Tribolium castaneum: one gene and its partner. The protein of the gene in region 1 interacts with the protein of each later gene in a pairwise test. Links are inferred from orthologs where the notes say so. Each region holds a gene or a part of one and is shown in the gene's direction. Other genes may lie near its edges. The genes, in order: protein BCCIP homolog and RpL23.

The links.
Region 2: the proteins of protein BCCIP homolog (region 1) and RpL23 interact in binary tests that used the Homo sapiens proteins (3 or more experiments, as listed by UniProt). The link is inferred for Tribolium castaneum from reciprocal best matches to the Homo sapiens genes BCCIP and RPL23.

The regions. Positions count from the first base shown.
Region 1 is NC_087395.1:14,250,765-14,266,529, reverse strand, and holds protein BCCIP homolog, read left to right. Parts: upstream 1-8,464; 5' UTR 8,465-8,554; coding exon 8,555-8,650; intron 8,651-8,696; coding exon 8,697-8,951; intron 8,952-8,997; coding exon 8,998-9,495; 3' UTR 9,496-9,523; downstream 9,524-15,765. Other genes in the region: Tbc1d8-9 (TBC1 domain family member 9), read left to right, coding at 529-751, 803-946, 994-1,212; polycomb group protein Pc, read right to left, coding at 2,137-2,742, 4,335-4,859, 7,547-7,606; uncharacterized protein LOC107398622, read right to left, coding at 10,842-11,680, 11,731-12,250; uncharacterized protein LOC663058, read left to right, coding at 14,839-14,881, 14,926-15,654, 15,709-15,765. UniProt on the Homo sapiens protein: During interphase, required for microtubule organizing and anchoring activities. During mitosis, required for the organization and stabilization of the spindle pole.
Region 2 is NC_087396.1:24,467,033-24,483,088, forward strand, and holds RpL23 (large ribosomal subunit protein uL14), read left to right. Parts: upstream 1-9,857; 5' UTR 9,858-9,960; coding exon 9,961-9,973; intron 9,974-10,170; coding exon 10,171-10,254; intron 10,255-10,301; coding exon 10,302-10,627; 3' UTR 10,628-10,682; downstream 10,683-16,056. Other genes in the region: pio (cuticlin-4), read left to right, coding at 614-825, 2,992-3,134, 4,767-5,160, 6,760-6,915, 7,384-7,584; metaxin-2, read right to left, coding at 8,115-8,277, 8,608-8,849, 8,897-9,234, 9,460-9,502, 9,552-9,781, 9,824-9,857; CtsK1 (cathepsin L precursor), read left to right, coding at 11,319-11,367, 11,410-11,515, 12,424-12,905, 13,021-13,431, 13,478-13,713, 13,772-13,959, 14,010-14,196; O-fut2 (GDP-fucose protein O-fucosyltransferase 2), read left to right, coding at 14,470-14,591, 14,636-14,898, 14,945-15,176, 15,230-15,410, 15,455-15,632, 15,685-15,962.

The DNA.
Region 1 (15,765 bases):
TGCACGCAGGTGGTGCCAGATTTTGGCATTGGGCTTCGTTGTTGAACAGTTTCATGCATTTTTGGAACCTCCGGATTTCACAAATCGTTTTTTCCACTACTTTTCTGAGACCAAACGGCCCGCAAGGCTTTTCGTCTTCGTTAATGACCCACTCGTAGGTGTTTCGCTTCGGCCGTTGCAAGACAGCACATTGATTGGGACAGGTTTTCTCTTGAACGGTTTCAATTTCTTTCTTCTGGAACTTTTTGGATGGTTTTTCGGCACATCTTGTACCACACTCCCACGGGAGGGGGCCTCTAGGACTGTGCATTTGCCGTAAGACTGTGTTAAAAATGTCGACGAAACGTTTTGTCAATATAACGGGAAGTTTCAATTGGCGAAGGTTTGGGCGGATTGGAAGCATATTTTACCGTCGTGAGATGCAGTCTAGGTTTGAGAAAAACGCGGATTTTTTCGTTAAATACTAAAATTTTGAAAACTTGACCTGACATTTGTGTCTTGGGCATTTGCAGACTTGATTTTTTACAGAAAATCGTTCGAATCTCAATCTTCGGTGGACAACTCTTTGACGAGTAACAACGGAACGGGGGAAGTCAACTGGGAGATTAAAAGTTTAACTAACCTGCGCAATTTAGTCCAATCAAAGGACAGCAAAATCAACCTGAAAGCCGTTCCGAAAATGACGCAACCCCACTTTATAACACTGTGGAAAACTGTTTACGATATTTTCCAAACGGAACCGGAAGATCAGGTATTTTGCTGAATGTTGCCCCAATTTTTTTCTAATTTTTTCTTCAACAAGGAAACGTATCATGCCATAGCAAACGTGGGTACTTTACTGTTAGAATTAGGCGACGTTGGCAAACAATTCTTTATTAATCGAGACGAGTCTGATGATAGTCTTGTCTCGGCAGCTGCTGCTTACAATCCGGGAAAGGCAGAAGAGGTTTGGACGATTATTTATTCCCAGAGTTGTTTAAAATTAGGCAATAGTTACAGTCACCTGACAAAAATGGGAACCCCCTAACCCCCAAAACAGAGATTCAGTGGTACATCACAGTGGAGCAGTTCCTAGCATCGGTGCTAAACGCTCAACCTTTGGTTGATTTCTTCTCAAAGCGAACGTCGATTTCCGACGGCATTCAACAACTGAAAGGGAGGAGATACACAAGATATAACTCGCTTTATGAAGTACCTGCGATGAAGGTTTAATTGTATTTTATTACTTTGTATTTTTTTAATGACATTTTACTTCATTTTTATAGTCTTGTACAGCTTATCAATGTAAATATTTACCTACAGGTCTTATTATTTTGTATTTTACTGTAACCTAGTGCAATGTTTCATCAAATTGTTACGTAAAAATATACTTTACTAGAAACGTGCCGGGTGTTTTAATAAAAGTCCCTGCCTGCGACTACTTTTTATTTCAAAAATACCTTATATTAACGGAAACAACTATTTTCAACTCAATTATATTTTACACAATATATACAAATTTGTTAAGTAAAATTATCTTAGCTGAAGTTGTATTAACATTAAAACGTGTGATTGTAATGACAAAACTAAAATCAGAACGTAAGTTGTGGTATTACTGTATTATATAATAATACAAGAAATAAATTAATACAATTAATAAATAAGTTTCAACAATCGTCTAATACTAGAAGGTACAGTAAAAAAAGAAATACAAAAAACTATGCATATTAGTAGATATATCCAGTATATACAATCGAACCGGCTCTCACACCGTGGAATGAAAAATTTTACAACCGATCTTGTTGCTGCTTAACATAATAACTAGTCATAAATTAAAACCACGGGCCTAAATGAGCAGACTGGCTTGCTAAAACGAAAAAAATGTTTGGGGGAGCTGACATGTTAAAAAGTTAGTACGACTTTGTTATCACAGAAATAAAAAATTGAATCGGGAAGGACACTATAAAAATCGAATGGTGATCTACTCGTTCAGGCTGGTAGTCGGAAAATCCATATTAGCACCAACAGTCTATTAAAAATCTATCAGATCCTTGGGGAAAGTTTGCTCGCAAACGGAGCTACCCTGTACGATACCCTCGCGGGTATCTTAAGCCCATCACTACGTTTCACGACTTAAAACTACCGAAATAAATAGAGTCAAACAATATCACTAGAATGACTATTATCGTCCCGGTCTTTAAAAAAACCCTTCTCCGTCTTGCACTCCCGAATCGTGACAGTCTTCAAGTTCACCGTAACGTCAGTTATGAAAACCTGATCGGCGACGGGATTCCTCGCCAGCCAGTACTCCGAGCCCGGACTCGTCAACACCGGAAGTTCGTCAGTCATGTTATTATTATTGTGTCCGTTTACCGCCACTTTAACGTCCCCGCTCTTATCGCCCGCACTGCACTCTTTTTCCGGTTCCTCTTTACTCACTTCGGGTTTTTTCGGGGGCGGCGGCGGCGGTGGCGACGACACCGGGGGCTCGGTGGCGGGCCGTTTATCGTCGGTTCGCGACGCCACCGGTTTGGGAGACGCCGGCTCTTTAGTCGAGGAGTGAGGGAGGGTTGCGTCGACCGGACTTCGACTCTTATCGGTGGAAGTCCGGGGAGTTGTGGCGGTGAGAACTGCCGGACTTGACGCCGACGGTATTGCTGATGAGGCTTCCTCTTCGTTTTTCTGGCGGCCGTTGGCACGGTTTGTCGACGTTGCTTGCTGCTGCTGCTTGGTTGATGCCTTCTGCACCTGCTTATCCGAATTCTCAATTATGAAAATATTAGTATTTTCAGTGGTGGCTCGGTGGTTCAAAACTAGGTGAAGGGTTCATGCAAAATTCATGTTCCAGTGGATATTCAGTAACGCACAAAATGGGTCACGTAAAAAACAAATCCTCGAATAGGTCATTTTTTTGTAAACACTACACCAACATTAATCCAAAATTTATGACGCGAATGGTTTTTGAGTAATGACCTCATTTTTATTTTTCTATTTTTACGACGAAAAATTTATAAAATAAGACAAGAACAGAAAGATTCGTCTTGGAAAAACAGGCCGAAAAATAATCAAAATACGTTAAAATTTATTTCGTTAAAACCTTATTTTGAATGAAAATTTTTCAAAAAATATTCATATACTTCCACAAATTTCACTAAAAAAGGCAGAGAACAACTTAGTTCAAAATTATTATCATTTTTGCCTTTTTTCAAATGCTTACGCGCATTTAAAAAATACTTTTGTCACGAAATTTTGCTATGAAAGTTAATTGCGTTACTTTTCCCTTTTTCAAGTATGTCTTTCAGCCCAAATCATACTTATTTCGTATAAACTTCCCAGTTCAGGCCAAAAAATCACAAATGAAGGCGTAAGATTTGTCTTTTTTTGGCAAGAAACTTACTTATTGTAAAATTTTGTCAAAAAAGAGCGAAAATGACGTTCAGTTTCCTTAAAATTCGTCGAAAAATCATCAAATAATTATGAAATTTTGAGATAAAAATTCAATTATTTTGCATTACTTCCGTCTAGTACGCCAAAAAACTAAAAATACAAGAAGTCGCAAATGATGTTATCTTAATGTTTCGCTACATTTCATATAATAGTTCGTTTTATAAGTGCGAAAATAGCCTCAAAAATCCAAACAATACCTAAATAATTAGTTTAAAGTCAATATTTTTGCCTCTTACAAATGCTTAAACAAATTTTTAAATTAAAAATGCACTTTTCACGCAACACTTTGCAAATAATTACCTCTGAAGATCGAGAATAAATTACTTTTGTCTTTAACGAACTAGTTTTAGTAGTCTTTCAGCCAAAAACTCATTTAATAATAAATATAACTATGATAGAACACACCAAAAAAAATAACAGGAAGGTTGAAAATTTCATTATTTCAGCATTTTTCGTTAGATTTACCTTTTTTTTAAGCAAAATACTCACTAATTTTGCGAAATTTCGTCAAAAATAACTAAACAGTCAAATTAGGTGCCAAATTTCCAGTTGATTTCGCGATGACATTAGGGAGAAACTAATGTTTAGCGGAATTTTCCTCAAAAGGCTAAAAAATACGTAAATAATTAGTTTGCATTTGTAGGAATTAGAAGGAATGTTTGTAGATGGCATTATTTAACCTTTAGATAGGCTTATCTTGTTTTTGAGTAAGATACTCACTTATTTTGTGAAATTTCGTTAGAACAGGTCGAAAAATATGTTAGTATAGTTAATTACGTCAGTAATTACGAAAAATATATCTTAGTACGAAATTAAAATAAGGCTAAATTTAGATGGGAGTACCTACAGATTTTAGGTAGCGAGCCACTGATTTTTCACAAAAAAAAAACACAAAAATTAATTCCTACCTTATTTGGTGGGGGACTGGCGCTGGTGGGACTACTGGTGGTGATCGTAACTCCAATTTTTCCACTTTCTTTCGACAAAACTTCCGCTTTTCTCTTGGTCCCGATTTCCAATCGTGCCAAAATCGGTCTACGATCTTCGCTACTTGAACTGTTTGAATTTTCGTTATCGTCGACTCCTGTTGGCACTGGTGATTTTGACGATACTTCGGATTCGGCTCTTGTATCTTCATCGTCTGGATTTGGTGCTGATTCGGATTTTGTTTGTGGAGTTGATTTGCTGGTTTCGGCGCTTGTAACGCCATCATCTTGACTTTCTTCGCCGCTTGCACGTCCTTCGTCTTCCGTTTCCGTTTGCTGCTTTTCGGGGTGTCGGTCCTTCTTTTTCGGACCGCGCTTGTGGGGGTCGAGCTTTTGGCTACGTTCGAAGAGGTCGATCAGCCGCGAGTCGAGGATGTTTTCCTCCGGTTCCCATGTGTTGTGCTTTTGGCTCCAGCCTTTCCATTTCACGTAGTACTCGACGACACCCTGGAAAAATAATCGAAAAAATTGTGAATTAACTAAATAATTAAATAATCATTGATGATGAATCTTTTAGTCATAAACTTATAACTTAGTATTGTTCCGTTCCAATAGATTTCGATAACCCAAGATATTATCTTTGTTTTCTTTTCGGTTATTTCATTTGATTCATGTACTGTTAAAGTGAGTGATTCAATATAACAATGCTGACTTCCACCTCGCTGGTGATAGCAATTAATTACGGAGCATTCATACGAGTAATCGATCTGCTAAGTCATTCTCATTTTTATAATTCCATTGCGTAATTAACTAATTATGTACCGAAGAAATTTGATACATGTTGAGTGAGTTTGACCGTAAATTACTCAAATTACTTTTTTGGTTTCATTTGAAAAAAACAAATAAAATTAAAAATATTTCAACATATAATAAACAAAATGTAATAAAAAAGTCTTCTGAGCCAAGAAAAACATTTCTAGCCAAAAGAGCTCAAAATACTCTATATGATTTTATTATTAAATTATTATGTTTTAAGTTTCATCAAAGTAAAATTAATGAATCGTAAATTGTCATTTTTTATCTTTTTAAACCAGTTAAATTTTTATTATTTAATCTGAAGTAGGTAATGCTAAGATAAGATAATTAAAAAATGTGGCTACTTTTTATCGTAAAGTCTACATTAGGAAAAATATAAACAAAGTGATATTACAATACTTTAAAATTTTTGTATGAATATCAACGACATGATTAATTTTGCTTTGTTTTATGAATTATTTAGAGATTATTTCTGAAATTTCTTTAGATGCAACCAAAAATACTAATTACACTTACCACTGAATATGCGTTTGATTTTTAATAAATAATTTTTATATTTTTAATAATAAATAAAAGTAGTTCATAATGAAATTTTAGCAAAGACAAAGTTGCCAATGCAATCGTGGATTTATTTTGAAATTTCTAAGAAAAGTTGCTTTAAATTTGATGATTCATTACTGCAACTACGTGTAACAAGATGAGAAATTTGCATTTTCTTACGACGTACATGTTTTTACAACAGCAATTATAAATGCTAAGCAGTTAAAAAAACATAATACAAACAATTTAGAAAAATGTGAGTTTGTTCAAAAAACATCTAGTACATAAATACAAATTGCATAATGAGTTTCATAACTAAAAATATCACGCCACATGTCATATGTCCGTATTTTAACAATTTTTTTGATTACATACAATCTAATGGTTTCGAGTTGAAGTCAGAAGTGTTCTTTATTTAACCTTTTTTATGCAAATTATTCCATTCACGAATAATCTGGAATCAAAATCTATCTCTTTTTATGGCTTTGACATTAACATCCGGTAATTGTAAAAAATAATTAAATTAGGACGAAATGTTCTCTTGTATAGGGTGTTCCAAGTATTATGGCCGAGGCAAAAATAAATATCTCTAGTCGAGTAAAAAATTAAATAGTTTAAACGATAGGGAATTAATTGAGTTACCACTTGATTTTTTTATTGTTCAAAATTTTTAAGGTATTGCTGTGAGACATGTAACTCGTGTCTTTTACTGTTACATGATAAAAAGTTAAATGAAGTGAAGAAACACAAACAAGGTGTGAACAAAAAAAAGATTTTCCTTTTTTCATTTTGGTTACGAAATGCACTCAGTTGTTAAGCTTGATGCAGTTTTTTTTTGTTGGTAATATTTTAACCGTTCTTTTTGATATCTGAATCCTACATTATAAACACTATTTTAAAACACGTTTCCGATAGCAATTTTAAAACACTCTTCCCATAGCAACGTAAATTAATATGTTCCAACAAAAAAAATTGAATAACATTCATACGAAAACGCTTAAAGTTCTTGGGTGTCTAGCCCTCGAACTTTAAGTTTGTGTTTTCGCACTCGTATTATTAATAACTATAAATAATCTGTTTAGTTCAATAACAGTGAAAAATAATAAATAAAGCTTAATATTCAAAGTCAGTTTTTTTTTATTATTTTGGAGTAAATTTTTTTACACGACGTTTGAAGAATGCATTTCCGTTCTGTTGGTTTTTCAACATTTCTTATCTCAATGTTTACACAACTGAAACATTAAGTCATCGTCAGTTTAGACGACGTCTGTATTATTTTTTACCAAGCTTCACATTACTCCAAATTAGCACAACTCTATATCAAAGCCCCCAAGTTGATTAACCATTTTTCAAGAAATTAGTGAACATCTGCAGACATTTCGACCAGTTCATAAATTATAAATTACGACCTTGGATTACTTTATTGACTCCAAACCGTAATAATAAGCTTGTAAAGCTTTTATTGTCAGTCAATCGTCAAACCCGTTTCGTCTATTATACCATAACTTCCTCAACATGTGGCACTTGGCAACAATAATGACGACTTACAGCCCCAACCCCCATTTCTTGACAACTTTTATTGAAAAAAACCGAAAACGGCGTCCTAATTAACCCCACGACTTCCTCCCCGAAGCTCCTCAGCCGTGACTCACGTCTTAGACCGGAAGGGGTGACAGGAAACCCCAATTATGTAAGGAAATACCCCTTGAGTCACAAACCTTATCAACAAACCCATCGCAAACTGTCGATGGAAATTCGAGGTTAGCTCCGCCGGGAGCCCCCATTTCCCCCACCAAACAACCCGAAAAGGATAATCATTTTCAAGGATGAAAACTCACCCGACGGACTCGTTTTTTTATAATCCTTTCGGCGGCATAAACATGGTCACCAAGTTCCATTGTTATGGCTGATGGGGACGCATAAAAACTCCGAAAATTATTGCGCACCAGATACTCATCTAAGTGCACAACCACAAATCGAACTCAGCTTTTCTCAGCATTTTCCCGAGAAAAACAATACGGAGTTTTCCGCGAAATTCACAAATTGCGTCCACAACAACTCACTCACATCACATTGGCTTTGGGGAATTTGACGTGCCCGGTTGGATGCACTGTGCGCGCAGCGCAAAGATATTTTTGGCGAAATTAATTCATTTCGCGATTTACAAAAGGCAATCACACATAATCTTCAAGTAAATCACCAGAAGTTTGCACAAAAAGGACTTTGGGGATGTTCTTGCGGTTATCGCACTCGCTTTGCAGCACTTTCCACCCCTCTGGGATAATGGACTCGTCCAGCCGACCAAATTTTCAAAATATTCTTCCAACATTTCAAAAAAGTCGAATATTTTTAGTTAAATTTTTTTTCACGCGGGTTTTATCACATATACATGTTTAGTGTGTCTATAAGGTTACATAACAATTTTTTGTCCACAATAATGTTACTTGCTCATTGCCTATAATTATGATAATTTTTTGGTTCGTGAAAGAATGACAAAGTTGTTAGCAGTAATTTATGTTTAAAACTTTATCTTTTTCCCAGTATTGCCAATAACTGATTGTTTACTGAAAAAAAAATACATTTTTTGCGGCTTTCCCGGGATTTCCCAATTGTGAAGATTAAAAATGCAATTTTAAATCCTTAATAATTTAAATAATTATTCCAATAGCTATCAATTGATATTAAATTAAACTTCATCTTTTTTCAGATTTTATTTTGCCAAACTAGATTTTTGTACTGGTCCACTGTAATCCCTGACACTTGTTTGAGATTTGACAATTCCCTAACCTAGGAATACAAACCGGTTGGCTTGAGAGTTGAGTTTTTAGTGCAAATAAGTTCAAAACATGGCTGGGGCTTCGAAAAAGTCGCGAAAGGTCGCGAAACCCGCCTCTGATGAGGAATATCAAAGTGACGAGTCCGGGAGTTACCATGGCCAACAAGTGGGTACAGTTTTTGGGGTTATACTTATGACACGTGCTCTTGTAGGAAATCCAAGCGACTTTTGAAGGCCGAAACCCCGAAGGCCAAGATTTTCACGGCATTAAACAGTTACTGAATCAGTTATTTTTAACTGCACATGTTGATTTGGGCCAAATGAGTGACATGCTTATTTCTCAGGCTGGAATTGGATCTGTTTTGAAGCAAAGTTTTAACGATAGCGACGACGAGGAAGATATTGAGATGGTGGAGGAGTCTGATGTGTTTGGTATCACCAGTGTTATCAATCTAACGCAACACAAGGTGGTTGTGTTTATTTTGCAACCTGGGGATAATAGGGGGTTTTCAGGAGACACCATGTGTTCAACAACTGTACAAGTTAGTTGATGATGAGGTTACGAAACAGGCGGATCCTGAAGCTAAATCGTTATTTAAAGAAATTGTGGGAAACAATTCAAACAAAATTGGTTTTATTATCAATGAGCGGTTTGTTAACATACCATCAAAAATCTCCCTTCCTATGCTACACGCATTACAAGATGAAATACACAGAATGGGGAAGAAGAATGACGGCTATAAGTTTGATTACTATTTAATGATTTGTAAAAACTGGAAGTCCAAAAGCGACGGTAGTGAAATCGTCTTCTCAAATGATGAAGAAGAAATCTTCTGGAAGAAAGCTGACTGTAGGTTTGAATACAGTGTGGCCGGAAAAAGTGACACAGGACTGACGGGGAATTGGCAAAGTGAAGATAAAGAGTTGATTCCACACAGAGTAATCATTTTGTTTAAAGCGGACAAACTTCCAAGTATTATAAGCGAAATACAAAATTTTGTGTCAAACTAGGCTAAGAATAATTTTTTTTAAAAGCAAAGTGTATATTTTCTATAATGAAATACTATTACATGAAATACACACACTTAAATACTAACTAGGGTGCGACACAACGCCACATAGTACAGCTATGTTTTAGAGTAAGAAAAATAAACAAAGACAGTGAACACAAGTCAAATACAGTTGAATACAAAAAATAAGGGACAAAGTTCTAGAAAATTAACTAAACCGAGAAGGTTTGAATTGGTTTAGCACTCAACCACTGGTAAAAAATTAAACGAATCATAAACCTTTCAAGATAAAGATATGCTGAAACCTTCAACCGTATTCGCAGCTCAGAACGCAAATTTAAATAACTATTTTTCGTAAAAATCGTAGTACACTTTTCTTAGCTTATTAATTTGATCCCCAACTTCCCTGCTTTTCTTCAAAGCAATTAAATTAATTTAAAACAAAATTTTGCTTCGCCTTCTAGTATTTAGACTTAGTTTCACTTAAAATAAAAAAAATAAATGCCACTAATGATCAATAATGCTTAGGTGGAGGTTCAAAAATAAATTAATACTGATTAATGAGATCATTTTCCTTGACCAAATTGGGATGAAAAACGGTAAAAACAGCTAAATTTCTGACAACCGTATAGTTTTTCAAGCCAGCATCTAATTTATGTGTTTGTTCATCAACTGCTTTAAGTTCAAACGTGTCAAGATTAACACTGCTGTGTTTATTTGGTTGCGGCGATAAAACAATCCGACCATGAACAGGAAGTCGTAAAATTCATTATTCACCTTTAAATGTTGGAAAAGTAATATTTTTTTCCTTAAAATTATTTTCAAATAGTCTTTTTGAAATTAGCTACAATACAAACTTATGTTTTTTTAAAACACGCTCTTAAAAAAAACGTATTGCCCAAAAACTAAGATTCCCAGAAAAAAAACTTTTACCACTTTAAAGAAGAATGTTTAAAATTAAATAGAAACCAATTGTTTAACGCCAAGCAATTAGGAATTTAGAAAAACTATGAAGTTTTACAGGGTATTCTATTAAAAAAATTATTGTAGCTAATTTAGAAAACATCTTGTATGTTTAAGAATAATTTTAGGTGAGGCAGGGGTCAGTATCTAAAAAAAAATTCTTTTTTAACACATAATGTACTTTACCTACTTATATTCTTATAATTATTCTGTGACACTGCTTCAACTTGAATATTTTTTTCCAAAAAACAACATAATTCATTAAATCATTTAGAAAAACATAACATTGCAGTTTGTATCCTACTGGTTTACGTTAAATACTAGATTATTAAAAATTCAAAAAAATGTGTCTAATTGGCAATGCAAAAAACACCGTACCTACAATTAATGTAAAAATATAAACTGCTTGGGTTTGGTTACTTCGTAAACAAAAACCTCAGCCAGAAACGCCATTGTTGCGAACAAAAGACCCAAAAGTAGCCCATAAAACAAGAATAAAGTCATGTCTAGAGTCAAAGGTTTGACTGCGTCAGCGTCCGCAACACCTTCCGGTGACAAAAACCCCTCAAGTGTTGCATTATGAATGGACCTTTTAGCCCACAGTTCAATGAAACCACCTTCGCCCAACCTCCTCAATTTTTTATTCAATACGGGCAAAAGAGGAGAATTATAAATGACTTTGTACGATTGGTAATTCGGGATGATACTCTCTTTGACCAAATGGTACATTTGCGCCCCATTTCTCCTCAGATTTTTGCATCTAGAGACGAAAAGTGCGATATCGTGTTCGATTATAAATGCAGGGAGTTGTGAAACATCGGCTTTGTAAGTCATTTGGTCCATCAAGCCTTCATTACTGGCCAGAGGTAGTAATGCAAGAGTGAACTTTTCGTACTGCGTTCCGTTGTATTTCTTTTGGACTTCTTCGGCGTAGTTTGGGAGCGAGTAGAGTGGAAGTCCTGATTCAAACAATTGTTCGATGGTGTTTATGTCAGGGTGATTCAGTCTGATGGCCAGAAAGCTGGTTATTTTAGTTTGCAGGAACATGTTTACAACAAAACAGGACAATATCCACCCGAAAATTAACAAGCGTTCCAAACTGTGCCGTGGAAAGTGGATTACATGGTTTATTACCAAGACAGACCACACTTCGAAAAAGACGTCTTTGATGATAATACGTTGTTTGCATAATTTTCTAACAGTCACAACTAAGAGAAAAACAACTGGAATTTTATTAAAATTACACAACACTCCAGTAATATGTTGGACTTACTTAACGAAATTGTCACATTAAGGGCCCAAGTGGAGGGCTTGTAAATTGCCGCCATTAATTCACCCACCGGTATTTCCGAAGCTTTCGGAACCAAAATACTCAAGTCGTTCTGAGTGTGGGGATATAAATTCTCCACAATTTGGTCATCGACAGTAAACTGCTCCGATTTGATCAAAATCGAAATGTCCCGCTTCTCCAAAATTTTGATTTTTCGACTTGCCCTATCAGGCCAATTGATTGCCTCAAACCAGGGATTTATAAACGCATTGTCCATCGTTTCAATTTGCAGTTTCCCGTTTAAGTGTGCCACAATTGTGGCAATTGCGTTATAATCCTTTCCCTCAAAATCCACTTTTCCGCTCCTCCTCACTTTTTTTATTTTCGTCCTGTCATGGAAAGTAAATAAACAATTAATTGTGCTCCCGTGCAGATCTCTCGTCTTGTCGTAGAAGAAAGGCAAAGGCGAGTTAGTCAAGTTAACAATTTTGTCGAATGTAGGCAAAAATGGATTGTGGGTCATCACTTCAATTTTTCCGTCCGATTCGTACACCACGATGACGTTGAAACACTTTATTTTTGCATACGAGTTTAGAAGATACGTTATAAAAATCGGAAGGGGTTTTCGAGTGAGAATTAGGACAATCTTGGCTCGTGAAACTCTCACTCTTTTGAAAATATCATTGGCGTACGAGAGATCACCCTCCGGGTCGGTCAGGACGAACTTAAAATGATTTGGATTGAGCTGGAAACAAGCTTGCAACTTTGGCCGAATTTAAATGAATTTGACTCACTAATGGCTTAATATTTCGGTTAATGCCGAAATTAATTATAATGACGCTTGCAAGATCGTTCAGTTTTTTGATAGCAAAGTCGCTAAAGTCGGGCTCGACTTCGTTAATGGCGATGTAGAGGAAGCCGTCTTTTTCATGGCTGTTTTCCATGATTATGCGAACCATGAACTCCTTCATAACGTTTGAGAGTAGGTAAGGTTCGATTTCGAGTAATTTTGAATTGGTGCATGAACTGATTTCAAAGTACTGTACCAAAAATATAAAGGAATAAAGGCGCATTTTGTTTGCTTTTTTAGAAGGGAGTGATAGAAAAATCGTCTTTTCGCCTTTTTATAAGGCAATTGTAATTGTAATTTGACTAAGTCCAGCGAGATATTATTACAAGTCATAAAATAAAATGAGTAGAGCAAATCATTTCGGGTAAAGAACAACTTCATTAAATAAACATATTGATGCAATATTAGGTAAATCGCTTGTGGGCTAAGTGCAATAAAAATAAGAATATTAAATCAATGATTCTCAAGAATATGGTAAAGAATATCAAACATAATACAAACATAAAAAAATGGGAAAATATAATTAAAAATAAGGGTTAGGGCAAATAATAAATAATAATATTTTTGGCTATCAACAAATTTTACAATAAAAAAAACGTAAGATGTTTTGACATAAACATGTCATCATCAGCTACAACAAATTGTCAAATACTAAGGTCCAATAAGTAACTATTTTAGGACAATTAACTCAAACTCACTTTCTTAGGGAAAGAATAGAATAAATTGTTTATTCAACTCATTTTTCAGCCAGGAATAATGCAATCTGACACCAGTGGCGTATTTTGGCTGCCCCTGGCTATGACAACATTAAAAAAAATATTGATTAAGTCAAAAAATAAGGATAAATTTACAAACCTCGAAAAAAGACATTTTTGTACTTTGGAAATTTGTAGCATTTTCAAAATTTTAAATGCTACTTACCACTCCTTTTTTGACACCTCAAATGAACTGCTAAACTGCATAAACTGCTCGAAAAATGTTAGGTGTGTTTGAACATACACTGTTCCATAACAGTTAAAGAAATCTAATTATTCTAACATCAAACAAATTGTATCAGTTACCGAGTTTTGAATAAATAAATATCTTTTTATCAGTTGGCTTTCTCTATAAACTTTTTCAGTCAGATTAATTGAATGAAATAGCAATTCCCGTTCTAGCACAAGTTCTTTAAGAATGCAGGATAGTTTTGAAAATTAAATTACAAAACCTGGAAAAGTTCTTTGTGATGTGACCAAACATGCGCTAGATTTTTAAATATCTCTTATAAGATATCTATTAAAAAGTGACTCTGTATTTCAAGAAACTTAGCCATTTTTACGCTTTTTTCTATATCTATAATATTACGTTGTCTCTGACTTTTTTCAAAGACATTACTCATTTCGAATTTTCTTTAATATGAATTGAAACTACTAAAAATTTCTCAAAACTTATTAATCAAACAATTAAGAACTTAAGAAGTAAAAAAATAAGACGAAAACTAAAAATCTGATCAATTTATTTAAAAAAATGCAACTCATCGATTTACTTGCTGTTTTGTTAGCCAAAATAAAGATACTTTTGCCGCCTCCGAAATAATAAAAATTTGTACACAATATCACGTTCGTTAAAATGGAATGAATGTTTTACAAGCGAAAGAGTCCAAAGATACATAAAAGTATTTGCTAGATAATTATGGCAAACTTGACAAATATTTTCTTAATATTGTAGATAACAAAAAACGAAAAAAAATAATAATATGCAGAAAACTCCAGGTAATTCCATTAGATAACAGGAAACTGTCTTACTTTGTTGTTGACAAGAGCTAATTCGCTAATTTAAATTTATAATATTTATCTGCCACCCACGAAGATGACTCCTGCAAAGTGTAAAAGTGGGCCAAACACCTATCATTAAATCTCTTTAAGACACGACACATCAAAATAGCCGCACTCGTATGTAAATCAGGCTCCTTATTATGCACACCACTTTCTTCATCTAACAGTACCTTTTTCTGGTGGTACTTTAAAAATACTAATTAAGAAAGCAATTTTGACCATCGCAATCCCTAAATAAACCCCCTGTTTCCAGTCCACCCATCGCTGATCCCCCAGTTTCCCCCATTTTCCAAACCATTTGTCACACTCCCCGATAATGACTAGAAAATGGTGAAATGAAATTTTACTTTCCTCGTACTTTCTTGCCGACAAATCAATACTTATTTCTAGCGGCATTTTTCGCGACGACACTTCAAATTCTTCCTGCCACAAGAGTTGTGCTTCACCATGTCGTATATCACCACAGTGGGATTTATTTCAATTTCGATTTGTAAGTGCATTACTTGTTACTTCAATTTAATTAAAAAAAAATAGGTGTGACTTGGTGCCAAGTGACCCTCCCGAACCAGCCCATCAAAGATGCCCTCTACCTCCACAACGCCACTTCCTCGAATCTGACCCTAAGGGACTGCTCGTTCCGCCCAACTGACCAACGGCAGCGCTGCCCCGACCCCGACGTTAGGTTTATTTTGTACAGCGGGGGCGAAAGCGAGGTGGTTGACTACACAAAAAGCGATTTTTTGCGGCAGAGCAGGTGGGACCACACCAAGGAGGACATGATCCTGGTCCATGGGTACGCGGGCGGCGATGGTACCCTGCCCATGGCCGTCCTCCGCGACGCGTACATCAACCATGGTTCTTACAACGTCTGGGTGGTGGACTGGGGCAAGTTGGGCCCTCCACCCTGCTACAGGGCCGCCGTTCACAACATGAAAGCGGTGGCGCGGTGCATTGGCGACCTGTTGATGGCCCTAAGGGCCATGGGACTGCAAACCGATAAAATGACCTGTGTTGGGCACTCGTTAGGCGCCCACATCTGCGGCTTGATTTCGCGCTACGTTCTGTTCCGAATCCACAGAATCATAGGGCTAGACCCTGCCAGGCCCTTAGTACCGAACTCCTCACGGCTGGAAAGTGGGAGTGCAGCCGCTGTCCACGTTCTCCACACAAATGCAGGGCATTATGGTGAATCGGGGAAAAGCGGCCACGTGGATTTTTGTATTAACGGCGGAAGGGTACAACCTTATTGCGAAAACTCTGGACGTACGTTAATAATTTAGAACGCGTTATTTAACGATATTTATTTATGGTTTCTAGTCGATGAACAGTTGTGTAGCCACGTCTGGGCTGTGTGTTACTTGGCGGAAAGTATCC
Region 2 (16,056 bases), on another chromosome or scaffold:
CCTGAGGCCAACCTAACAAAACTATATCTACGACTGCTGAGAATTTAAAACAATCGTGAACGGATAATACTTCACTGTTGAAAATGCCAAATAACAAAAAAATAAAAATCCCCACATAGGAACTCTAATTTGCTCCAAAACTCTAAAAATTATTAAATAATGTAACTATAGTTACATATTAATAGCAATTTTTTGTAGTTTCTTCCTTTTAATATTCTCTATAAAAATGTGATGTTATTTCTTCTGACGATCTTCTTTCTGACTATTTCCCGTTGTTTCATCTCTCAATATGTCTTTAAGTTTATAAAGAAAAATAAAAAAATTATACGGTATAGCAGACAACTGAAAAAAAAATCTTCACATTCGTGCAAATTTTCTTTAAAGGACGATTCTTTGCAAATAGTGTTTTCGAAAGCAAAGCTATCTAAAGAGAAAACCGTAGTTTGTCTTCTTTATTGTGTCGGAATCAACAGGAAAACTTTTCCTGCTGAATGAATCTCCGAAACAATGAGAGGAAATCGAATTGTACGCACACTACAACCAACGAACTAAAGACCTCTCCCGAATAATAATTATATCTTCATGTCCAGTTATAGAGTCGTTGTTCTTGCAGACGCACCGGAAGTGGCATCGGATGTACGTGTGGAATGCAACAGCGACGAAATCGTAGTCAATATCAACACAAAATCGGGCCGATTCAACGGCATGATCTATCCTAGAGGTTTGTCGAAGAACAGTTCTTGCATGGGAGAGTGGGTCCAGCGGCCCTCCCCCATCAAGTACAACCTGCCTTTGAGAGGGTGCAACACCATGAGCACGGAATTGGTAAGAAATTGGGAAAAAAATAGCTGGTAATGTGCACCGATGCACTCGTGCTCAACTTGACATATAAAACCGCGAGCATTCGTTATATTGTCACGATTGAAGGTCGGATTAGTATGGAAATTGCCGATAGATAACGGAGGATTCGATGACGCGTGCCCATAAAGTCCCTATCCGGGAAATAATTGAAGCGTTTTATTAAACGTAACGGGAACTCCCCATGAGAAAACGACAAATTGACCGTTTCTGTACACAAAACAGTACAGTTAAGTATACGTGATTAAGCTATAATTTCAACACTTTCCTTTATTGTCTTTACATTTTTACGCAACGATTGTTTTAATGAGCTGGCGTGCTCACATAACGGCCGTCGATTTTTCAAGTGTTGACACGAATCTAACAGGAGAGCCTCCCGAGGCCAGCGATTAGAAAATTAAAAGTGTGAACTTTGACTTTAACTTCAAATCGAGTAAATTGCGGAATTTAAGTGGTTAATAATAATAATTCCGTAAGCAGAAGTTGAGAGTCGTTAGGAATTGCCTGTGAGCTGTCCAAAATACATAGTTTTTCAAGTCAAAACAACTTTTTCGACTATAATGTTACGAACAGTGGCGCGTTTTTAAAGAAATTTATTCAAAAATGAGCCAAAAAATTTTAAACTTAAAACTTTAAAATGCGGTTTCTATATTTTTCTATAACAGGTAAGAATTCTTACTTTCTTGTGACTAAATAATAATAATAATTTTACAGCCACTAAATTAGGCCGAAATCAATTGTAATTTTTTTTTCGTATGGTTAAGTTTTTTCGCTAAAACTGGCTGAAAAATCACAAAATTTGCTTGAATTTTATGTTGTTTTGGTTAATTTACTTCGTTTTTCGAGCCAAAATTGAAAGTGTTCCTATTGTCCGAATGAACTGAAATTTTGCACATTTACGTAACCTAGAATTTTATATCCTATACAACTTAATTGGCACCGTCAACAGGATTCGTAAACGCACAAATTACACATTTTGCCAGTTTCAGCAAATAGAAAAAAAGTTGATACAAGAAATTCCAAATTGATTGAAAACTCGATCGGACTCGGTCAAGTGCTCCATCAATTATTGTCAACGTGCTAAAAAACTAATTCATCGGTTCCGCACCTCAACGAGATGGAACTTCTTACTGAACCGTTGCTGGAAACGACATGAATTAATAAAAAAATCAAAAACTTCGCAGTAGGTGTTCACACGTAACATGATGTACCAAATGTTATTGCGTGGACTTATATGTCTCGTAGTAAAGAGGCCAGAACCTTGAAGTTTTATGGTAACAGCTGCTACATTACAATCAATCGCACTTAATCATAATAAACAACATATGGTTCTTTCTTATATAATTGGGAAAAAGTTAAACCGCAGAGAAAGTTATGCAAATTATCACACAAACGCAAACAGAAATTTGATTGGAACAAGGCGAAAAATCGCGAGAAGACGAACCGGTCTCGGCTTTTAAAGGTTACCACCGCCAAAATTATATCACAAGTGAAAGTGTCTAAAAAACGAGTTAAGGGATAACAATGCTACTTGACTTGGTTATCTTGGTAAAGGTGTGGTCACGTCCTTAGTTGGAATGGAGTCATGTGGGACTAAATAATACGTCACAAAGTCCGGGTTAGTCTGGCATTTAATTAAGAGGTGCCAACTCAAACCGTGAAGTTGGGGCTCAATAGCGGTTATTAAAGGACAATTATGATTACGTCACAATTATACAGTCACTAAATCCATTTGTAATAGAGCAGTACTTTCTAATTTTGCAAATGCACACAAAACGTGAAAATTTTGACAAAATCGTGGGTTTTCTTGACCTTTGCAAAGCCCACGACGACCTTCACAAAAACACAAATTCGTTTTTTAATTGTGGGTTGGACACGTAGGAGCACTGCTTCTTAATTTTTTCCAGTTTTAAGTCCCGTTTGGTTTCTGCTGTGATCATTAGTCACTTTCTCTAGGGACAGTAATAAATGAGAGGCTTTTTTGGCAGTGCGTTCACCTGCCCATAATGACAATATTTAATTAATAACAGTACTGGAAAGATGATTGCATGGGTTAAGTTACCTTGAGGTTGTTTGTTGCATGACATCATTCAGTCTTTTTGTGATCATTATATCATCTTATTTTAATTGCAGGATGATGGTGGTATTGAATATTTTAATACCATCGTTGTGCAACCCCATCTCAAGCTGGTCACCAACCAAGGGAGAGGTTTCCATATCCGGTGTCGCTACAACACCAGGAATAACACCATCACGAATGATTCCCTCAAGGTTGAGTAAGTATTTTTCATGAAGCGTGGAATCACTGGAATCTCGTTTCGAGTAGTAAATGTACAACCATTTTTCTGCAAAGAATTTCCTCATCCTTTTCGCATAAATTTTCGCATCTCTCATTTTTATAAGTTAAAGAATTTGCATCATCATAGACTACGAACATGAAGTAACTCTTTTAATAATTTCGTTTCTTAAGTATAATTGCAACATTTAAAAACCTTTAACGTTTCACTTAGTTCATTAGGAAATTTTTTATTTTTGGTTTACTGCTTTACCTTTCGTAATAAAACGCCTAGTATCATGTGAATTACGAAAATTGCGTCTTCGATAATTTATTTATAACGTTGACTCGTTTTTCAAATAAATTGTGTTATGTGTGCTTATCTTCATTTTTGACTAATTCTGTACGATTAGATTACGATTAAAAGCCAAAAATCGAGGTATTTTGTCGAAATAATTAAATACTTAGTTCGTTTTGTTTCCAAAAAACGCTTTTTTTTACTTTACAAGAACTTTTTACAACAAACAATAAATTTTGGTCAAAAGTAATGTTATTTCTAGACTTTGAGAATTTAAGCACGTTTTAAAGCTAAAATCTTGACTGTTTTTTTCCGAAATTTCACTCTAATAGATCAATTAAATCCAAAATTATGTTATCTATATCTATTTCGCAAAATTTCATTAAAAACAGTAGTATTTTAGCCTTCTTCGAGTCTTGTTGAGGTAAAAACTATGTTTCTTTTTAAAAAAATTACCCCAAAACTCGATGAAGAATCACCGAAGGATTAAAATACGTTTTTAGACCAAAAATCAAGTTTTTCTTTCTGGTTTTGTTAAACTATTTACAATTTTTGCGTTAAAACATTTCTGGAAACCAATTTTAACAAAACCCAATAATTATTAATTATTATAACAATTAATTATAAATTATTCAATTAAGCATTGATTGAATAATTCAGAAAAGCAGCTGTGAGTCTGACCAACTGAGTTTCTACCCATTTTATGCCTATATAAGGACGGTAAAGTAAGCAGTACTTTCAGCAAATATTATTACAAAATAGTTTATTCTGTCTGTCAACAACCTGTGAAAATATTGTTTATTTTTACAAGTCAATGAAAAATCTGACAAAATGAAACACACAGCCTTGATGATTGCTCGGAAATCAGTTCAATGTTCATGATTTGCATAATGTTGTCTCTAATTAAAATAATTGTATAAACAGTTTTCGATTGATGATTTGAAGTTCACATACTTAGTTTAATACCGGATGAGCTGAAATTGCTGCAAAGTGAGACGATGTTTAATAAATGATATTTTATGCGAATTCTTGGCTTAATTGTAACAACGGTGGGTAATAAATTCAGTGATAAAAAACAAAACAGATAGTGTGGATATGGAAATACGCGGACTCGATTTTATGACCTTTACGCCCATGCTGTATGCAAAATCTCCGACCGGAGATAAGAGTTTGAATGTTTGTAGCTGCAGCCAACCAATACATATTATGATAATTTATGACAGTTTTCCTTTACTTTCAACTGCCACTTCCTTTGTTCCCTGTTTTTTTTTTCACACGTTTTAACATTATTACAATCTCAAGAAAGTCCGTAAAGAAAACTGATTTTTCTTTCAGTTTGATGGCTGCAGATCCAATCACAGCACTGGCCCCCATGCCGGGCTGCAGCATGAAAATCTTTTCAGGAGACCCTTCGTACAAGGAAGTTGCCGAGAACGTGAAAATCGGTGACCCTTTAACACTTGTCATTACTTTGGACGAGCAAGACACGTACGGAATACGTGTTACGGATTGTTTGGTCAGAGATGGGCTAGGCTGGGGCGAACAGAAACTGATTAATGACGAAGGCTGTCCTTTGGATGCTGAAATTATGGGCAAGTTTCAGTATTCGGAGGACAAGACGAAAGCTTCGGTGCAGTTTCAGGCGCACAAGTTCCCATATACCGCCTCGGTTTACTACCAATGCAACGTCAAGTTGTGTCTGAAGGCTGATGGAGGGTGCGATATTTCCGTAAGTAGCCTTGACTTATTTATTTTGCAATAAAAAGGAACAGGACAAGTGTGTTTTTTAATAGAAAGTGTCTTTTTTGTACAAAAAAACAATTTTACTGAATAAAAAGTGAGAGGATACTCGTAAATAACCAATTACCAATTAATTAAAAATGCAGACTTTTCAAGTTGCTCCACAACTTTTCTCTTTGTGTTTGTCTCTTAAAAGAAGCAAAACCTAGATTAAAGAGTTAATTTGATGTTATGCTCTACGACTTGCTCAAAGTCTTAGAATTTCTGAAAAAACGAGTTGAAATTTTATTTTAGAATAAATAAATAATTATGTATCATCAAGACTTAATATTCAACACTAAATCCTACAAATTCGTAGACATGGAGGCTGTCACTAAACCTGTTAAGGATAAAACCAATAAAGCCAGACGAGAAATTATTTTAGTCGTGTAGGAAGATATTAACTATAAAAGCAACCAAATGTGTTTATTTGCATTATTATAATCTTACGAAACATGAGCATATTGAATTTTAATTTTCTCTCAAAAAACGAAAGTTCTACTATTTACGAAATCCACTTAGAGGAAACCAAAATTGGCAGTTATTGCATAAATTGATTTTATGATTAGTATTTTCGATAGATAAACCACAACAGTTACGTCCATCTGTAAATGATATTCGTGACCTGCCGAAAGAATACGTTGATTTCCTTTTAATTGCTTTTCACAGCTGGGAATTCTCTCAGCACATGATCACAAAATCCGAATTGAAAAAAACACCAAATCAAAAGATTTTAGATCCGTTACCGTTAGCTCTCTTGACTGAGGTTAGCCAAGTTCGCTTTGAGAAGAACCATCAGGTTCAGGTTGTAGGTGTATGGCCGCTGCACCCAAGGTTAAATGGGAGGGCGTCAGGGTCCATTGCATCCACAGCGTGTCCTCAAATGACACTTGGGCCACATCGTGTTAAAATTGGCGTTTTTGCAAATAACGGTTAATTTTCAGTGGACAGATTTGTAATAAATTGAAAACTGTTAAAAACAACAAGTGAGTTATTTAATCATTTCCTACTGTTTAATTCCCTATTTCTTACAAACTTCTGATATACTCTCTAAGTTATGTTTAACTAAATTATTCTCTTCCGTGGAAATTAATTATCAATTTAATAATATTTATATTTTTGCTGGTGTTAAGATACGACGAACGCGTTAATTGTCGTGGCTTAGTAATCGCCAACTAATAGACTAATGAATTTGCTTATTTCCGTTGATAGATACATTTGAATTATCTTGCACAAATTTTCAGATTTTATCTTCAGTTTTTATGAACAGTATCAGTGGAAGTGTTTATCAAATAAACACATTTAGAGCCAGATTTATAAAATCTAAAATACGAGCAGGAAAAAAAATAGAAAAAAATTTTAATTAATTAAAAATTATTCAACAGTTGTAGTACGTCAGTTGTTAACAGTATACTATGTTATCGCCTACAAGGCAATGTATGTAAATTTTAGAATTCAACGAATTACTTCAATTAACTGTTGATCCACTCCCATTTTAAATCCACAACTAAAAAAATTCCTGAATTTAGATTTTTGTGTTTTTTTTCAGCCACCAAGTTGCGGAGGGAACAGGTTGCGCAGACAAGCAGCGGACCCCACCGAAGGGACTCCTGCCACTATCGAAGTATACAGCGGCCTTTATGTCAATGAGGCTAACGACCTCGCCAAAGCCGGCTTGGAGGAGGATTCCGTCTTTAGCGAGAAGGTGAGTTACCTACCACATCTTCTTCGAACGAACATCGCCTCAGGAGGCATTGCCAATTTTGGTTGCAATCAAAAAATAAACAACGGTCTGTCGCCTTTTTCGTACAATGAAACAACAACAATAGCGAACCGATCGCTGTTGCAGTCACTAAACAACGGTGGTTTTTTGCTTCTTCCGACCGTGAGTCATTTTAATTTAATGACCTTCGGTGAGATTTAACGAGGAAAAAAGTCGCGCAATTTCGGCCGAATCGGTCAATGAGATCAAACGGTTTATTCATTATTTTCCTCCGAAATCATGTGTTCAACTTCCTGGACAATCATTTGACGGAAACGAAAGATAAATCTCATCTCCTGTGTTAATAAGAAATAATGAAAAGTGAATGTCATGCGTATCTCCACTTGAAAAACTACTCATTGTTTGAACTTTCACTGTGACTATTGAAAGGCAAAATTTGAATTTTTGCAGACACCTGAGGACAGCATCTGCATCTCGCAACGCAGCTTCGCTATCGGAATTTGTATAGCGGGTCTGATTTTGATGCTTTGCGTCATCGCTGCAATCCTCTGCCTTTTGGCGAGAAGACGCTCGAAGAAGACTTCCTCAAACCCTGGCAGTTCGATCTACAGCGGTCCTTACACCAACACTGCCTATAGTCATAGTAGTTAAAGTCAGCGATAACTAACTGCCATCACTCTATCGAACGAAAATTAGCTTAGGTGTGCCATTCAAAGGCTCAGTGCTCATATAGTTTTAAACGTCCGTCTTTTTTCGAATGGTGTTCAAGATGAAATCTTCAACTGCCATTATTACTTATTATTACTTGCCTCAGTCTGTTTCTCTAGTAATTTACCTCAAGTTCCGATAGGTTAAGATAATAGTCATGATAACAGGGGACGGTGGAGGGATTATTTATACAATGTTCAATCGGGGGGAAACACCCGATTTGAACTCAATCTCAATAATTTATACAAACCAAGCCGTTGCTTGTTTGTATTTTCCGATCTTGAATCACAGCAGCATTACCATGTTATTTTTTGTACATAAATTTGTAATGCTGCCCTGGTTCTTGATCTCCTTTAGCTTAACTTAGAAAAAAGCGAACAATTATTAACTGAAAGGTGCTTTAATCTACATTTATCTCAATTTAACAGGAAATAAATATAAAAGTAATAAACTGTTGTCTTTTATTTACACGACTAGTGTTTCGTCTCTCGTTTAAAGTAGTCCCTTTCAATCCTTTGGATTAAATTTATAAGAATTGGATAATTTCTGACGATGTTTGCAATGTGGCTGTTTGGCAAGGGAGTCGTCAAAATGGTAAAAAGGTGACCAAACACTAAAGCATCAAGCTCTGTTGGTCTAAAATCCCACCCTTTAAAACACAATTATTATCCCAATAAAGAAAATTTTCCTTCACCTAGTTACTCGCTTCTTATTTAAGTGATAAGACCCATAATTCAATTTGGAAACTTTTCACATGCACTCAAGTGCAAGGATAAAACAAGCAAAAAAATATCGCCAAAATAAATCTCAATTTTATTTCCAAGTGATTTAAGTCTTTTTACATTATTAAGCTATATCGGTTTAAACCACATTCAGCAAAGTATCAATGGAAATAACAATAGGCCTTTTATTTTCAATGCGATCAACCAAGTGAAGGAAAACTTCCTTCATTAAAGGTGTGCATACTTGTCACCAAAGAAAAAATCTTTGTCCTCAAGCCTGTCAGTGAGAGCCTGACAACAATTCTCCACCTCTTGGAACACCTCCGACATTGTTTTTTGATACCACCCCAAAACCTTCAATTTTTTTATGACTTGTGCCCTCTTAACCCTATTTTGAATATGGTTTAAAGGCCATGGATAAATGGACCCATATCGCACACTAGTGACTTCATTATAAGTCTCTTTGTCACACCAACAAATGTACAACTATGCGAACGTTATTTTGAAACGTAAAATAATAAAATAATACTCACTTCTGCAACTTCCATAACGTTGTGGACCAAACTCATGTAGGCCCTCATGTCAGATTTCATTTCGGGGTCAAGTTTATCAGTTAGGGTGATTCCCTTATTGTTAACAAACTGTACGATCGGTTCGAGTTCAGATACGACAAAGGCCCCAGCTTTGATGAAGGGGACTTTGCCTGAGGGGGACATGGCTTCGGCATTTGCTCGTGGCTCCACTTGAAACTCCAAATTGCACATTTTGAGGAAAGCTTGCACTGCCAAACAGTTGGCATTGTCGGGCAATAGAATTTGCTCGATTTCGTAGGGTTGGAAGAGTTTGACGTCTTTGGGCCAAGGCTCCTGGGCTAAAGTTTGAGGTTATGTCACAATTATGTAACAAACATAGTGAGTTACCCCCTAATTCTATTTGGATACGATCGACTAAAACCATACTAACTAATCTACGTTTATACTTGAAATAAACCTTTTTTGTTAACTAAATAAACGCACATAAACACGAAAAACTGACAGTTATTACAATTAACTCTGCCAACCGAATGGCGCTGAAGTTACCACAAATTTGAACTTACAGGATATGTGCAAGTTTTCCAAAACTGCAGCTAATGCAATTTCCTTAAATCATGCGAATTGTTTTACGTCCCGAAATTACGTTTCTACAAACCCTTTTATTTTGGCTCTCGATGTCTTCGTCAATTTCGTCTGAATCAACATTGACTGGTGAAGTGTTGTGCGAACTTTGGGAGTCCAAATCATTTAGAAAATCAGACACGGATAATGTGTCCAAATCAGTGATATTAACGTTATTATCCTCAATTTGATCCAAAGGCAACATTTCGCCTTCAGTGTCCGAAGTTTGACGGCACACATCTTCTTCAATATCTAAAACAACGTCTATGGGGGCGTTACCACTAACTCACACTATTGGGTTAATACTTTGAATATCGTCGCCACAATTATCACCAAACATTATTTTTTTGGAAAATGCTTGACATTACCGCCAAAATTTAAATAAATGTCAAACAATCGACGTGCGTTCTCGGTTGCATAAACCGCTCTTTTCCAAATCCAAAATGTCTAAGAGAGGTGAGTGCTCGAATAATCTCCAAAAAACCGCAAAAATCACCAATAATCCCTCACTTTTGTATCCTTAAACTTTATTTGTTGCAATCCCTGTGAAAATCGGCATGAATTAGTGTAGATATTTTCGGGGATGGTCCTTAAAATTGCGCTATTTCGTTTTTAGGTTATGTTTGCGGTAACATGTTTTCGTTGATTTTCAGGACGTGGTGGTTCCGCGGGAGCCAAATTCAGGATTTCCCTGGGTTTGCCCGTCGGTGCAGTCATCAATTGTGCTGACAACACAGGTGGGTTTTGGTTTTTTCGTTTGCAGTTTTACAAAATTAGATTTTAGGAGCAAAAAACTTGTATGTAATCGCTGTGCAAGGTATCGGCGGTCGGTTGAACCGTCTTCCGGCTGCTGGTTCCGGCGATATGATCGTAGCGACTGTGAAAAAGGGCAAACCGGAACTTCGTAAGAAAGTCATGCCTGCGGTTGTGATCAGGCAACGGAAGCCCTTCAGAAGGAAGGATGGGGTGTTTATATACTTTGAAGACAATGCGGGGGTCATTGTGAACAATAAAGGAGAAATGAAGGGGTCGGCTATCACAGGACCTGTGGCGAAGGAATGTGCAGACTTGTGGCCCAGGATCGCCTCAAATGCGAGCAGTATCGCCTGATTGTATGTTTCCTTTATTATAAAAAGTGTAAAAAAATAAAGAACGGTCTTTACCACACCGACTTTCAGTAACCTTAAATAACTAAAGCGATAATAGCAAATTATGTTAATTACGGCTAAGTTGAACATTGATTTTTACCAAACGTAGTGAGGCAAATAATTCAGCTAAACCAAATAAACTCACTTTTACTCTGAAAATGATTGCAATCAAAATTTGTGAAGCAGTAAAAGTAACAATGCTTAAGTACAAAAGTGAAACTTAATAGTAAAATTAAAAATTAGTATAACTAACTAAACTAAAAAAAAAACGATTAGGTTCTAAAATTAGATGTGGGCCAGTTTACTGCTTTGTCAGGCATTGAAACAGCAGTTATGAAAACGGCAAATTCATCAACAATGCAAAGTTCAGTGACTTGTAATCGTCATAAAATATCCATTTCCAATATTGATCTGATCTTAAAACAATTTTTGAGCCTCCTATTCCTGATTGAAATCAATTAAAAACGCTGATGAAATCGTATTGACGAATCAGTAAGCAGTTTTGTCCATATTTGCACATCCCCTCTTTGTCGAATCGCTTCACTCCAATCGAAACTTTCTGCCACTTATCAGCTGAGTTCATAGGTCGTGGGGGTTGTTTTTAAAAGGAGGCCTCTTATCGGCTATTTGTTTATTTGGAGATTTGACGCCAAATGAGAATGTTATTTAAAAGTGTGATTTTTTCGTGTTTTTTGGCACTAGGTAAGTAACAAATTTTTAAACTATCAGTACATTTTTTGGTAGTCTATGGGGACTGTTCCAACAAAGCGCCGGCTTGGAGCAACACATACACGGTCAAGGGCATTCTTTACATCCCTTATGCTGAAATTGAGGAACCTTTCTACGCCTGGTAAGTTTCCTAAAAATTCATAAACTCAGTTGCCCGAACTTCAGTACTGTTCAAGATGACTAATTTATTCGAAGTTTAGGTGTTTAACCCTCAATAAACTTTTCCTTTGCAAAATAATAGTGATGAAAAAAATTAAATAATAATTTGGACAATGTTATTTTGTTTTTGTCTTACGCAATATTTTTTTAATTTCTTTCAACTACGCAGAAGGCATTGTTGTTTTGTATGAATTAAAAAATACAAAAATCACCGATACAATGTTATCTATTGTATTACAAATTTCCAACTAGAACAAAAAATTGTATTCAACTTATTGTGGTAATAAAATTTGGCATTCTTTCATTATAAACTCATTCCGCATTTTTAGGAAGTTTAAGTAATCTTAAACTGATAGTCACGTTGTTGATAAATTCATTAACAAACAACTTAGATTTAATAAACCACTTATTGTATTGTTATTTTTGTGATAAGCTAATTAATATTGTTTTCTCTTTGACAATTAACTATCTCAAAATCTTACATCCTGTGATCTGTATCAAACAAATTTGTCGACTCATAAATGAACAATTGAAATTACTGTATTCAATCATATAAATTTGATAATTGTCTCTAATACAGTTGTAATTTTCCATCTCTGGATAAATTAGGTAATAACAAGGAAATTATGTTGCACTGTTATTCACTTTTGTGGAAAAGTGAAGTTGAACTGTTATATAAAAGTCAGCGATTAAACATAAATTTAAAACCTAATATATAAATTATTATAACTAGAAAAATAGGTTTTAATTTGAAAAGAAAACCTAATCACAAATTGTCACTACTTTGAGAACATTTTGTTTTGCTTTTTGGCTTTCAAATAAAAAAAAAATAGTAAACTAGTAAAAAATATTCTTAAATAAATAATCAAGGTACGATGGCCAATCGAAACGCTCCCGTATTGACTACTACGGCGATATGGTGAAAACCTACCAACTCTCCACAGAGGGGCCATACGGCAGCAGCCTTAAAATAGCCCCTGTGACAACAGAGACCGAAACCAACTCCCGAACCTGTCTCCAAGTCAACGGAACTGAAGAAAACACAATTGAGCCCCAATCCATTCTCCCTGACCTCACAGGTTTTGAATGTACTGGAGAGGAGACAATTAGCGGAGTCCTAACCGAAAAATGGGCCCTGTCTCAAACAATCGGCCAAAAAGTCAACAAATACGCCATGTGGCTGTATTACAAAGACGACCCGGACAACACCGGAGTAAAAATCGCCGTTCCGGTCAAATACGAAATGAGGGGCTTTAATTCACTTTTGGGGAGTCACTATGACCACTACTACCTCGATTATGACTCCTTCAGCTCAGACCCCATCCCGGACGACATCTTCAAATTTGACTCAAGTACTTATCCAACCTTATAGTTTAAATCAGAGTAGCCTGTGATTTTTGCAACACACTGTTGCCTCGAAATCAATGGCTACTTGTTGAAACTAAATTGACCGAAATTAATTTTTAGACATGAAATGTAGTGCCTTCCCGGGCCCTGGCGACAAACACATTTACACTTTTAACCCAATGGCTGAATTCATCAGACCTGAAAAAAGTGGCCATGTTGATTTCGAATTTGGCAAATTTACGCGAAAACATGGCAAAAATTACCAAAATAAAACCGAAACTCTCATGCGTAAAGATATTTTCCGCCAAAACGTCCGATTTATCCATTCGATGAACAGACAAAATAGGGGGTTCACCCTGACTGTGAATCACTTGGCTGATAAAACCCCAACCGAATTGAAGGCGTTGCGAGGGCGCACTTATTCGGGGGGCTACAACGGTGGGGCCCCCTTCCCGTATGAAAACATAAATAAGGAGGATTTGCCCGATCAGTGGGACTGGAGGCTGTTGGGGGCCGTAACACCTGTTAAAGGTATTTTTTGATTAAGTGAGTTCCAGTTTTGTATTTTAAATCGTAGATCAATCGGTTTGTGGTTCGTGTTGGAGTTTCGGAACTGTGGGTACAGTCGAGGGGGCACTTTTTTTGCACAATGGGGGCCGACTTTTCCGGTTGTCTCAACAAGCTCTAGTTGATTGTTCTTGGGGGTATGGAAATAACGGTTGTGATGGGGGTGAGGATTTCAGGGCATATCAATGGATGCTCAAACATGGTGGTATCCCCACTGAGGAGGCCTATGGCCCCTATTTGGGACAAGTGAGTCATTGAGTCTTGCCAACTTAATTTTCAAGGTCACTGAGCATTTTTTTAACAGGACGGTTACTGTCATGCAGATAAGGTGCAAAAAGTTGCCAAAATCACCGGTTATGTTAACGTTACAACAAATGATGAAAATGCCTTGAGGTTGGCTTTGTTCAAACATGGGCCTATTAGTGTGGCCATTGATGCTAGTCAACGCACTTTCAGTTTTTACTCCAATGGGGTTTATTACGAACCCAAATGGTAATTTTTAATTTATCCATTGTTATATTTTCAAGAAAAAAATTTTTCAGTGGTAATAAAATTGACGAATTAGATCATGCCGTTCTGGCAGTTGGGTATGGAACCATAAATGGTGAAAATTACTGGTTGGTTAAAAACAGTTGGTCGAATTATTGGGGCAACGATGGCTACATCCTAATGTCGTCCAAAGACAACAATTGCGGAGTCATGACAACTCCAACCTACGTAACAATGTAATAAAATTGTGACTGAGTCTTATTTGGTTTAATAAATAATGGTTACTTTAAAAATTTGGTGTTTTTTTTGAAAAATTGGGTCACATGATCATTGATTTTTTGTTGCCAACTCAGAATACACATTTTTTATTATTTTTTTTAACATTTAAATTAAAACAAATACATTTTGTTATCAATTATTAAGAACACTTGGCGCAATAATTCATAATTTTGCTGATCTTTCTCGATATTTAAAAATAAGTTGACAAACTCATATCGGACATAACCTCAAAGAATGTCGACACAAAATTGTTTATTTGAGTTTATTTTGCTCGTTTTTTTCGCATTTTGCAACTGCAGCCAGGATTATTGTCACATTGACTCAGACTGTGGCCCAAATTATGGCTCAAAAGACAGGTGAGGGTCCCGGTGTCTTGCAGCCCCCTGTAACCCCATTCTAGGTATTTACTGTATGACGTGAACCCGCCTGAAGGCTTCAATTTGCGTCGAGACGTCTACATGCGCTTTGCCATTCTGGCATACAAATTAAAACAATCAAAAAAGGACGAATTGAACAATTTTAAGTTGGTTTTGCCCCCATGGTCACGTTTGTTCCATTGGAAGTACAATGCGGAACCGGAACACATACCGTGGGGGCGATTTTTTGATTTAGAGAGTTTGAAACGATTTGCGCCGGTTATCGAAATGTACGAATTTTTTGATGGTGCGTTAGTAATCATTTTTTTTATTTGTTACAAATTAATTTTTAGCCATAAATCAGACGTATGGCGTTAAAATAGACGAGGTTTACGTTTTGCAGCACTTTAAAGACATGTTTGAGACTGGCAATTTCAAAGACAGGATGCAAATTGAACAGTGCGCCCAAAAATACCAAATAAATTATTTCTTCTATAAAAATGTTACTTCAAACAATGTTAAGTGTTTGTCGTATCATGGACCTGCGACTAAATTGTCGCAACTATTGCTCAAATCGTCCGCCAAGTAAGAAATAATTATATTGACTGAAAAAAATATTTTTTTCATCATTTTTGAAGAACAATTTTGTTGGATCATGCAGAAGTTGCGTTACATGACATGTTCGGAGACCGAACTTACTGGCAGTGTAGGCGTAGTATGAGATTTAATAAAGATTTGCAAAAAATTGCGCTCGATTTTCGCCAAAAATATTTAAATTCGAGCGATGAGTTTTTACCTGAAAACTGGGAGGATGAGAAAGTAATTTGTTTCCATTTTTTTTCGTTATTTATTTGGATTTTTAGCCCAAACGGAGCACAAAAGGGGGGCCCTATTTAGGGGTGCATTTAAGACGTAGGGATTTTTTGCGAGGGCGGGCTCATCAAGTCCCTTCAATCAATAGTATAACGCAACAAATCACCAATTTACTTGAGAAATTGAACTTATCGCAGGTTTTTATCGCCACGGATGCAGACGAGGACGGTAATTAATTGTTTTCAACCAAATAATTTTTACCTAATTAAAATTAACGCAGAGTACAGAGATATTATAAAAAACATACCTTTTAAAACACAAAGATATACACCAGACAGTGAAACTAGGGAAAAAATCAAAGACGGAGGAGTGGCAATAATTGATCAAATTATTTGTTCACACGCTAGATATTTTATAGGGACGTATGAAAGCACGTTTTCGTTTCGCATTCAAGAGGAGAGAGAAATTCTGGGGTTCCCCCCAGACACAACTTTTAATTGTTTCTGTAAGGAAAATACAGAGTGTCCGCAACCGACACGTTGGAAAATTGTGTATTAACAAATTTTGTAGTCTAATGTTTTTAATAAAGTGCCATAAAACCGATTAAATGTTTTTTATTTTAAATTCCGCGCGGTGTTGTTAGTGGCGCCAT